Linked DNA regions of Drosophila melanogaster. The protein of the gene in region 1 purifies or fractionates together with the protein of each later gene. This does not show direct contact. Each region holds a gene or a part of one and is shown on either strand. Other genes may lie near its edges.

Region 1 (3,752 bases):
ATCCCCTGAGCCCTCCTAACCCATTTGAAAAGCAAACTGGTTTCTGTATTAAATTCTTACGTGTTATTTATTATTATTATACAGATTTTGGTTGTCTATTGAAATTCAAATACTCTTCAAATGTATTTACTTCATTCGTTTGTTGTTACGGCTAGGAAAAGTGCGTTACATAAAAGTAATGATAGAATATTAGTTTAGATCAAGTCAGCCACGTTCATGGGCATCTCGTCGATTTGTGTGGAGTAGTACTGCTCAATGTCGCGCAGGATGCGGATATCGTCCGATTTGACAAAGTTAATTGCAACACCTTTGCGTCCGAAACGACCAGAACGACCGATGCGATGGATGTACAGCTCACGGTTGTTGGGCAAATCGTAGTTGATGACCAGCGACACCTGCTGTACATCGATACCCCGAGCCCACACATCGGTGGTGATGAGCACTCGCGACTGGCCGGCTCGGAACTCCTTCATGATCTCGTCACGCTCCTTTTGCGGCATATCGCCGTGCATCGAGCTGACTGTAAAGTTAGCCTCGCGCATCTTCTCCGTCAGCCAGTCCACCTTGCGTTTCGTGTTGCAGAAGATGACGGCCTGGGTAATGGTCAGAGTATCGTACAGATCGCACAGGGTATCGAATTTCCATTCCTCGCGCTCCACGGCGACGAAGAACTGCTTGATGCCTTCCAGTGTCAATTCGTCACTGTGAGGGAATGGAATTTATGAATCATACTGCGTATATGGGGGAGCATCATATTGCTTACCGCTTGACCAAGATGCGAATCGGATCTGTCATAAATTTGGAGGTCATCTCGAGTATCTCGTGGGGCAAGGTAGCTGAGATGAGCACCACCTGGGTGGCTGGTGGCAAGTAGCGATACACATCGTATATCTGTTCCTTGAAACCCTTATTAAGCATCTCGTCAGCTTCGTCCAGCACTAGCATCTTGATGGCTCTATAAAATGTACTTATAATTATAATATTGTTTGATCGGGCACAATGAAACATACCTTGTTCGCAGCACTCGTCGCTTGATCATGTCGAAGACTCGTCCTGGAGTGCCGCTCACAATGTGTTGACCGTAGTCCAATTTGCGGATATCCTCGCCCAGGTTGGTGCCACCGATGCACACATGGCACTGGACATTCATCATGTCGCCGAGGGCAAGAATGACTTTCTGGATTTGCACAGCCAACTCGCGAGTGGGCGACAGGCACAGAACCTGCGTCTCCCGCAGCGTGGTGTCCAGGCTCTGCAGGATGGAGATGGAGAAGGTGGCGGTTTTGCCCGTGCCTGATTGTGCCTGGGCAATCACATCCCGTCCCTTGACGATAGGCGTAATGCTCCTTTGCTGAATGGCCGAGGGTTTCTCGAAGCCTTGGGAGTGCAGAAAACTGGATTAGTTCTAGACCGGCCATAGGTATACACACCACTCACCGTACGCGTAGATGCCGCGTAGCAGCTCCTCCTTTAGATTCATGGCGTTGAATGTGGGTATCACCTCCACATCCTCGCTCGTCTCGAACTCCACGTTGGAGAGGTCCTCCGCCTGGGCATTCTTGCGCGCCATGTTCACGATTTGTTCGCGTGCGGTTTCGGCTGATATTAATAAATATTTACAGTCTTTTTCGGCTAATTTTTCTGACTTTCACAGAAAAAAATGCGGTCCGCTTACTAGGGGTGGCCTATCAATTGCTTAGCAACAATCGATTATTGAATCGGCGTCGATTTAATTTGATATCGATATGTTTTCACTTATTTTGCGACAAGTGGCAACACTGATATCGGGCGGAAAAAATTTAAAGTGAATATATGTTCTTATTTATTGTATTTTATAAAATATAAATATGATTATTGCCATAACAAACAAGAAACTCAACTTGTTTTTTCCGGAGTGCTACTTCTTCTCCTGCGCAGGAAGTTCTCGAGCGACTGAAGATCCTTTCGCTTCAGCATCTTAATCCTGCTCACCAGTTTTTGCAAAGCTTCGATCCGTTGCTGTGCTTCCTTGGCGGCGTCGTTGGCCTTCTTAGCGCTCTGCTTATTTCGCTCCAGATCCTTCTGAGCCTCGCACATGCAGCTATGGAGCTCTTCCACCCGCATCCTGGCCGCTTTCAGAAGGCTGCGCTTTTCCAGGGCCTCTTTCTGGGCACTGTCGGCCATCCTCCGGATGTTATCGAGATTTCCGCCCATTTCCTTTAGCATACTCTTCATAATGTTCACGGATGTGCAGAGCTTGTCACGGATCCCCTTTGCCGACGTCGCCGAGCACGAGCTGGCAGCAATGGCTCGTTGGATTTCCTCGATAACCCTGTTCGTTTCTGCCAGACTTTTGGTGTATTCATCGAGGAGCTGCTTCTTCCCGTTGAGAGCCGCCTCCGCAGCCTTGGCCGCCTGCAACGCCCTGTCCGCCAGCATTTCCCGTGCCCTGTAGCCCGCCATCTCCGCGGCACATGGCTGCGCATCCTTGGCGTCCTTCGCATCCTTGGCCGCCTTCGAGGCCACCTGGCTGGCTTTCATGCTCGTCTTGCAGGGAAGGGAGCCGGGCTTGAAACGCGGATCATTCCGCTGGGCAGGATGCGCGGCGGTCGACAGCAGGATGTTCGAAAGAAGCAACATCGTAACCAGGGAGTCGCAACGCATTGGGAATCTTGCATCGTACATAAATCTCAAGGCTCATCAGGAAATCGAAATGTGGAGATAATAATGGGAATATAGCAGCTCCACCTTTCAAATCACTATTATTTGAAATATTTGTACAGTAACCACAAGTTACCTGGAGTATATATTTCTTAAATATCTTTAGAAATCCGTTTAATACAACTATTTCGAGTTAAGCATGGAGATAGCACGAATCGCATTTCTACTTTTCTTCCTGTTCTCAGATCATTCTGCGGGCCACAAGTTGCCGCAGTCCTCCAATGAGATAGCTGCTCTAATGTCGGATCATCATGGTGATGGCGACAACAGTGTGTCGTCATCCTCCGGCGGTGCCCCGTGCGACTTCAAGATGAATGGAAAGACCAGGGTAAAGGCCTCATGCATTGCGCAGAAGGCGGCCAAGGAAGCCATGGAGGCATCCGATGCCCAGATAGAGGCTGGCGAGGCAGCTGCCCGCCAGGTGAAGCAGCAACTGGCCGACAAAGCGCTGGCCGCAGCCAAGGCGGCAGAAGCTGCTCTGGCCGGCAAGCAACAGATTGTCGAGCAACTGGAGTCCGAGGTGCGCGAGGGGGAGCTAGTGGTCCAGGAGGAGAGCACCTTGTTACAGACCACCCAAACTACTTATGCTGCGGCCGGGCAAGCGGCCAAACAGGCGGCAGATCAGCTGAACACCATTACGCTGGCGGTGAAGAATGCGCAGGATAATGTGGTCAACTCGGAGCACGTGGCCAGTGGCGCTCAGCAGGAGCTGGGCGAGAAGCAACAGCTTGTGGAAGCGGCCAAGAAGCGGGTGGAGCTATTGCTCCGCCAGCTGGAGGTGGCCCGTGTGGATTTCAAGAATACCAAAAACGCCGCCGAGAAGGCAGCCTGTGCTGCCCAGGAGGCCAGGCATAGGGCCACCAGGGAGCGCAGGAGGGCGGAACTGAGGCACTTACTCTGGCTGAAGAGGGGGCGCACCAACTGAAGCCAATAACTTGTATATCTTATATTTTATTTTACTTTGCATTTTCAAAAGGGAGAATATAATTCAGTTTTATTAAATTCAATAGTTCGTAGGTGAGATCACAATTATAAACTACAAATTGTGACAT
Region 2 (3,752 bases), on another chromosome or scaffold:
CTTGGCTAAACTGGACCACATCGAACCGAGCAAGCTGCGAAGTGTCGAGCAGCAGGTTCGACGTCGCATGGCAGCGGAGAAGGAAATGTCTCGCCGTGCGTTAGTCAAGCAGAACCGGCTACACAACTGGATGGCGCATTTCAAGAAGCATCATGATCAGCAGGTTGAGCAACGATGGAAAAATAAAGTCTAAGCTAGACAACAACACCATACTTAAAACATTAAATGAATACAATTTAAAACTTATTTTAACCTCATTCTGAATGATTTCAATAAGAAAAGTACAATTCACTTACCTGACATCGCTGCCGGCGATAGCCAGATAGGTTCCGCTTTGGTCGAAGCACAGATCCTTGACCTCGTAGCCGTCATCAAGCTGGATTGTCTTAAAGTTCTTCAGCTTTCGCAGATCCCACAGCTTAACGCAGGCATCATCTGCAGCGGTGGCCAGGTAGTAACCGTTCTCCGAGAAGGAGATGGCCGAAATGGGACCGGTATGACCAGGGAAGTTGGCCACATTGCTCTGCTCCTTCAAATCCCAGATCTTAACCTGCGAGTCCACGGTGCCCGTACCGAAGATCAGACCATCAGGATGGAATTGCGCTGTCGTCAGCCCGACTTCGGCGGTATCGATTACCTTGGTGAGCAGGCGTCCTGTGCGGATATCGGAGAATGCCCAGTGTTTGTCGGATGATGTGGACAGCAAGTAGTCGCCAGTGGGGTGCAGCGAAAGGCCAGTAACAGGTCCTTCGTGGCAGCGCAGGAGAAGCTGCGTCTGCGAAGTGGGCACGTGCCAGATGCGTATGTTCATGTCGGGCGAGCCGGTTATGACTGTATCCTCGTTAGGATGATATATGACTTTGGTGATCTTCTTGGTGTGTCCCTTCAGGATGGCCACCATCTGCTCTGTGTCCTTGTTGAACACGGTGGCGTTTTTATCGTTGCCTCCGGTCAGAATCTTACTGTGATCAGCACTGTTGATGTCCAAGGCCAGAATGCCGGGAACGGAGGCCGAGTGTAGGCCGGGATGGGATGCCACAGTAAGGAAGTTCTTAACCTGATCCGTTGTAACCAGATCCTCGGGCACAGTGCGTCCGCGCTTCTTACGCTCCTGCGTCAGCACCGTGGCCTTGTCCTGCAGTTTCTGTATGACCTCGGCGCTCATGCCCGCCTGCTCCATGGGATGGGCAGCAGCTCCGCCAGCCTCAGAGGCCAGGGCCGGTTGTGGTATTGCCGTGGGTGCGTTGGCAATGCCCGCCTGCGGTTTCAACGTGGCCAGAGCTTCGCGAGCGGCGGCCACCTCCTTATTGAGGCGGGCAATCACACGACAGGCGGCATCGTGCTGATACAGCGCATGGGACAACTCCTGGCGCGTCGTTTGCAGCTGCTGGCGTTGTGTGAACGAGTGAATCATGAGGGCGTCCCACTCGTCCTGCATCGTTTTCAAAGTGGCCGGAATGCTGGTGGCACTTGGCGGTTTCGGTTTCACCACAGCCGGCGTCTTGATCTCGATCAGCTCCTCCGGCTTCAGCTCCTTGCCGCTAATGGGATCGCAGCCATTCTCTAACAGATACTTCTCAATCACCCGCTTTTCGAAAACGGCTCCCGAGTGCGGGGAAACCACGGGCGTCTCGGGGACTTCGTTTGTCACTTGGAATGGAAAGTGCGATTCATAATGGCCCAATTCAAATCAAAATCTAAATTATTCACTTACGTGCGCAAACCAAAGCCATTGCTGTTTGTGATTATGTCGCTTTTCGCGTAGTCTTGTTGGTAAATTAAATGTTTTACACGTTTTTCCCGAGCCAAGCGCAAAATTGTCGGCAAAGCCGCTTCTTCTTATTATGCCAGTTACTCGGCGACGCGGGAGTTTCGAGCACAGGGCTGCCAGATCAAATGGATTTTGGCTAGAAATTTGCACAGAAAAAACTAGCTAGAATTTAAACAATTTATTTTATTGATAACACAACACATTCAATAAGTATTTAATCCATAACAATAGTTTTTATAGATAAATGACATTTACTGATAGAGAAGTGAGTAACATATCTTAAATCAATCAGCTATCTCACCGTTTTGCCAATCACAGTTCCGCACGCACAATCCATAATTGCTGGCAACCCTAGCACGTTGTTTCTGTTATTCAATTCACGATCTAGTTTTATAACATAGTTTACTGCCATTAAGGTATATTTTTAAAATGCTGAAGCATTTTGCACGATGGCGTCTGGGCAGCCAGTTGCTAAAGGGATGTGCCGCACCAGTGAGGCAAGCCTCCAAAACCTCCAGCGCAGAGAACCTGATAGCCGGCACAGAGGAACCCCAAAAAAAGTTCGTCAATCCGTTTTCCCAGCCCGCTCCTGCGTTAAGTAATGATACGATATCAGAGAACAAGGAGGAACGGGATAAGCGACTCAAGGTGCTGCAGCTGGAGGCGGACATTGCCCACCAGGAGGGTCGGCGGGTGCCGTCACTGGAATTCTTTAAGGATCATCATTGGGAGCACGTGCTGACGCTACCCACAAAATCAGCTAGGATCAAGTACTTTGGCTATCTCTGGCAAATCGAGATGAAGAAGGAGGCGGATCAACGCAAGAAGGCAGAGCGAGCGAAGGAAGCCGAGCGGCGGGTTGCGGAGATGCGAAAGGAGCGCGAGGAGAATACGCACATTATCTATGGCCTGGGACACACATCGTTGTTTCTGCGTATCTATGATACCACTATTAATCACTGGCAGAACAACCGACTCACACGGGCCATGCAGTTTGCCCCCAAAATGGTTTTGGATTGCTCCTACGATGAGCACATGAACAATCGGGAGGCTACCTATGCAGCAAAGCAATTGATGATGTGCTTTGCGGAGAACCGGATGAATGATGAGCCCTTCGATCTGCACTATTGCAACACCCAGATGGACAGCAGATGCATGCAGAGCCTCCAACGCTACATCCCCACCATGCACAATCCAGAGTTCCCGATAAATTTGCATAGCAAGTGCTTTACGGAACTCTTTCCCAAGCAGAACCTGGTCTACCTAACGCCCCACTGCCGGGAGGATCTGGTCACTTACAACCCAGATGACATCTACATCGTGGGCGCCATGGTAGACACTATGAACAACGAACCCCTTTCGCTGGCCAAAGCCAAACGATTGGGCCTTCGGATGGCGAGACTGCCCCTGGATCGCTACCTACAGTGGGGTTCCGGTTCGGGAAAGTCGCTAACTCTAAACCAGATGATCAACATTATGCTGGACCTCAAGAAAACCGGCGACTGGGATACGGCCTTGAAGCATGTGCCCCGTCGGAAGGTCGTGCAAAACGAATTCCAGCCGCGCAGGGAGAAAGATCATTGGAGCACAGGCACGCGGGCCAGGAAGCTTAATATGCGAATCGATCATCTGTTTGATTTTGACGAGAATCGCCGGCAGGCTACCTCCTATGCAACTCCGCAGAATGTAAGGCAGCGACGGGAGGGCTTGGAGTTCCAACTGGACACTTGGGCAACGGGGAAGCAAAAGAAAAAGCAGAGACAAAATTAAAGTTACTCGTTGTATTCATTAAGATGCATATTTCATTTTATTCGGATTCGGATTTCTTATTCATGGGAAGTTAGTTTTTGGTTGTAGGGGACCTTCTGCCTCCACTTCCTTCTTAATGGCTGCCACAGTCTGATTCGATGAGGGAATCTCTTCAATTACTAGACCAGTATACTCTTCAGCAGGTTCACCATAATCTGTGTCTGTGTCATAT
Region 3 (3,752 bases), 7.9 Mb from region 1:
TTTGATATTTTTAGAAACGGAATAAACCCCGTTTAAGTGCACAGAAACAGAATCTGTGATTACCCTGGTAAAAGAAAAACACTAGAAGGGGAAAATACCCCACTTGAATTAACCCCCTGCTAAAGGGTATTTTCGCTTCGGCGTGTCTGAATATTTTTAGTTGGCTCGTGTTTTAAAGTCCTCGAATCCACTCCCACCTCGTTGATCCTGCAGCAGCTGTTTTTGCCACAGTTCCTGCTGCTCTTGCGTGGGAGCAGAATGTTTGTTGTTCCTGCTGTTGTTATTGAATCCCCCCTCCCCCCCCTTCGTCCTTGGCCATTGTTCTGTGGACTCGTTTTGGCCGGAGCGGAGGGGTTGCAGCCGTGACCGTGACTGACTGCCCGTAACCCCAGCAACGACCACATAGTGGACGATGTTATTGTTATCGCATACTTTGGTAACCAGTGCACTGTGGTCGGGATGACCAATATGAAGTAAGACGCATTAAAGCTGTTTCTTTAGTCACTTTAAAAAATGAAAAATTTATAAAGATAATACTCAGCAATACTTCTGCGACAAATTCACATTCGTAAATTATTCAAATTTGACAAAACAACGGAATGTTTAAAAACTTTATAGTCTTTTTAAGTTAGAATAAGTCTTAAGTTCTAGAAAGACCCCACGAAGTTGAAGAAAATGTACTTTAAGTGAAGTAAGTCTTCAGTGGCTTCAGTGGAATCGTATGTACTCGAATCGGAAGGTGGGTAAAGATGTGAACAATAAAGTAATATGTTTTTCGAAATTAAATTCCGCCCACTGTCCGTGTTCGTTGCTGCGGCTGCTGGCTGAATTTTAAACGTGCCAAGTCCTTGGTTGTAAACTGAAGACGTGCGGTGTGGGGCGATTTGTTGCCACTGTTGCGGTCGCTTTGTTGCTGCCGCCTTACTTCGTTTTCGTTATTTTTTCTCAAATATTAATTGCTTTGAGCAACAGTAGAAGCCCTTGGCTACTGCTCCAAACCCAATCACTTCGAATTTCCGAAAATTCCCCAAGCAGCAGCACAACGAGTTTGGAAAAGTGGCAAGGCGAAGCAGACGTAACCGAAAGCAATAAATTCACAAATGCAAATAAAATGCGAGCTTTGCTTCAACTCCTGTTCTGTATACATATGTATTTGATTCTATTTTTTACCCGGCCAGTTGACAGGGGCGTGTGCGTGGGCGTTTCTACTGCCAGCCGCACAACACAATGTCCTGGGTGTAAGTCTCGACCTTGGCTTTGCATAGCGACCTTTCGCCAATGCCACAATATATCCCCATTCCTACCCATATCCCTATTCCCCGAATGCCCAGTGGTGCCCACTTGTTTGTAGCGAGGACAGATTTACTTGCCATTTCCAATCCGGGGAATCCATTTCGCAGCCAGCTGTTCAGACTTTCAGATAAAGTGCACGCTTAAGAGAATCATGACAAATTAATGCTTGTGAATGAAGTGGCAAATCATCGTTTCATGGCCAAAAAGGTCGTATTCGAAGAAGATCTAGAATTAGATATTGGAAAGAACCTGCAGCAGATGGCTCATATTAGAAATATCTAAGAAATGTGGCTGGTTATTAACGTATAATTCCATTAGGGTCTTGAGCACTATTGTATATGTCGGCGAAACAGGAGTCTCATCCATATTATTTATTCACTTCGCGATTTTGTACGTCAGCGCAGCAAGTTCCGATCGACGTCAGCAGTCAAACTTCACTGAAGGGATCTTCTTACATGTCCCTTCTTCATCATATTCTCTAATGGCTATACACACTGGCGTGTGCCACATTGTCATCTCTCTCTAACACACTATTTATGACCACTCGATCGGACCTCACTCAGCTGCAGAGGCTGTTCGTGCCTCTGCCGCAGCGCTCGACAGAATTTTACCGCAATATTACAATTTCATCAGAATATGAAATCACAGAAGGAATTTCTGGAATGCGAAGAGTCGCGCTCCGACATATACAATCATGCTGATAATAACATTGATTTTATTGCACATTTAATTGCCTTACATTGTATTACACTTTCTAGCAGTATTCAAGATTATCTCCTATTATTTATAGCAATTTGTTAGTTGTTACTCATGCATAATGGCGACTTAATATTATATTTTAAAATTGTTTTTTTCTTATGTTAATCTGGATTACCACCCCACTTCGTGATTAATTCTGAGCGGAGAACAAAAACACTCTGATAAATTAAGTTGTAAACAACTACTTTCGAAAAGCAATTAAAAAATTTATTTACAGTATTTCACGATAAGGCGAATAACAAAACCATTAACTTGTTAATGTGCCGGTACAAACTATTTCCTCTAAAATGTTATCAGTTATCTGATTACGGGTTGATGTGATTGATTCCAAATATAAGTTGTTAAAGATTGAGTTATTTTAAGAATACCCGCTGATAACATTTCCTTTTGTGAAATTTATTGAACGGTCGTTCAATAAAGAATTGCCGAGAGCATTCTGATTACCATTCTGCTGCAAAAAACACTCGAAAACAACCCGTCTTTAAGAGACTGCAAAAGGCCAAGGAAAGATCACTCGTCTGTGCCTTTGATTGCGAACGACCACTGAATCGATGGGAGAAAGATATGGGAGTGCGTATATGTGGCCAGAAAATTATGTATACGCAGCGTTTCCTCATTGAGAGGCGCTGCTGACGCAAAATAAATGAAACGATTTTAAAATAAAAGCAACTCATAATTTTTGCCCCTACGATTGGTGCCTGTGTTGTCGCGTCTGTTGTCCATTTTATGCTATTTCTGTTTGCGTTCGCTTTTGTTTTGTTTTCCATCTTCTTGCCTTTTTGCCAGGGTTTTGCCAATTGATGAATTGAATACGTACAGACCGCTGCCGTCGGCTCTTTCGTCAATTGGCTTGACTGGATCTAGCTGCAGTTTGCACTGACGTCACGTCCCAAAAGCAAAAGTGCCCCTAACTCACTTAACACATCGGCCTGATTGGCAGCGACGTCGATTCCATTCGACTGTATATGCGCGCATACGTATGTTCTGCTTGACTTGAGGTATACTTGAGTTGTAAATGTCTCAATTAACCATAGTAACAATAGCCAAATGTTATCTATGGAGTCTAAATACGTCCATTTGGTGCGTCAGTGGGGACTGTCGTCGCGATAAGAAGCGAATCGAGGGAACTACCGTGGCCATGATTTACGATAACCAGCGGGTTTCAACCGGTTGAACTCAACATTGAACTGCTGATAACACTTGCTTAAAAGCGATTTATTGGAATATTTGCTGAACAGGATTTTAATTCCTTCCTTGCTTGGAAGCAAGAACCACTGTAAACTTTTGGTAATCTCTTCATCCTACCCAAATCACCGAATTTCGGCAGCACATGTCGGCGATGGCGGCTCCTAATAGAAATCGCTTTTGCATAGCCAAGTTGGCCCAAACTATTTTCATGTCAAAGCGCTGACAAGACGGGCGCACACAGAAACCTACAGATACACAGATACATTTGCACTTGGAGCCGCACAGTTGCGAGTGACAGTCGACAACAAAGGGGCTGGTCGAATCAGTTTGAGTCTGAGGCAAGTGAAAACTCCTCGGAATCGCCCAAGGACTTTGAGTGATAACAATCCAATTTGTAAAAGTAGTGGGCGGGGATGGATGAGCTGTTATGGTATGTGTATGGGGGCCGCATTAGAATTTACAATTTCGTCGAAGGTCAATCGAAATGCCAGGAATTTTCTGACCCCAAAAAG

Evidence for each region.
Region 2: the proteins of CG7483 (region 1) and Prp19 purify together in Drosophila melanogaster (affinity purification with mass spectrometry, with the first as the bait; one study listed by BioGRID). This does not show direct contact.
Region 3: the proteins of CG7483 (region 1) and Bin1 purify together in Drosophila melanogaster (affinity purification with mass spectrometry, with the first as the bait; one study listed by BioGRID). This does not show direct contact.

What each region holds. Positions count from the first base shown.
Region 1 is NT_033777.3:8,311,156-8,314,907, reverse strand, and holds CG7483 (uncharacterized protein), read right to left. Parts: upstream 1,701-3,752; 5' UTR 1,571-1,700; coding exon 1,438-1,570; intron 1,378-1,437; coding exon 1,011-1,377; intron 956-1,010; coding exon 764-955; intron 703-763; coding exon 195-702; 3' UTR 44-194; downstream 1-43. Other genes in the region: CG11698 (uncharacterized protein), read right to left, coding at 1,876-2,664; CG11694 (uncharacterized protein), read left to right, coding at 2,840-3,625. UniProt on the Drosophila melanogaster protein: ATP-dependent RNA helicase. Core component of the splicing-dependent multiprotein exon junction complex (EJC) deposited at splice junctions on mRNAs. Involved in exon definition of genes containing long introns, including the rolled/MAPK gene.
Region 2 is NT_033778.4:18,449,176-18,452,927, forward strand, and holds the start of Prp19 (Pre-RNA processing factor 19), read right to left. Parts: upstream 1,867-3,752; 5' UTR 1,734-1,866; coding exon 1,715-1,733; intron 1,651-1,714; coding exon 297-1,650; intron 246-296; exon of another isoform or gene 194-245; coding exon of another isoform or gene 1-193. Other genes in the region: CG30120 (uncharacterized protein), read left to right, coding at 1-193; rswl (roswell), read left to right, coding at 2,201-3,541; Dnaaf3 (dynein axonemal assembly factor 3), read right to left, coding at 3,602-3,752.
Region 3 is NT_033777.3:16,187,833-16,191,584, forward strand, and holds the start of Bin1 (bicoid interacting protein 1), read right to left. Parts: upstream 1,733-3,752; 5' UTR 1,371-1,732; exon of another isoform or gene 1-1,370. UniProt on the Drosophila melanogaster protein: Involved in the tethering of the SIN3 complex to core histone proteins. Interacts with bicoid (bcd) to repress transcription of bicoid target genes in the anterior tip of the embryo; a process known as retraction.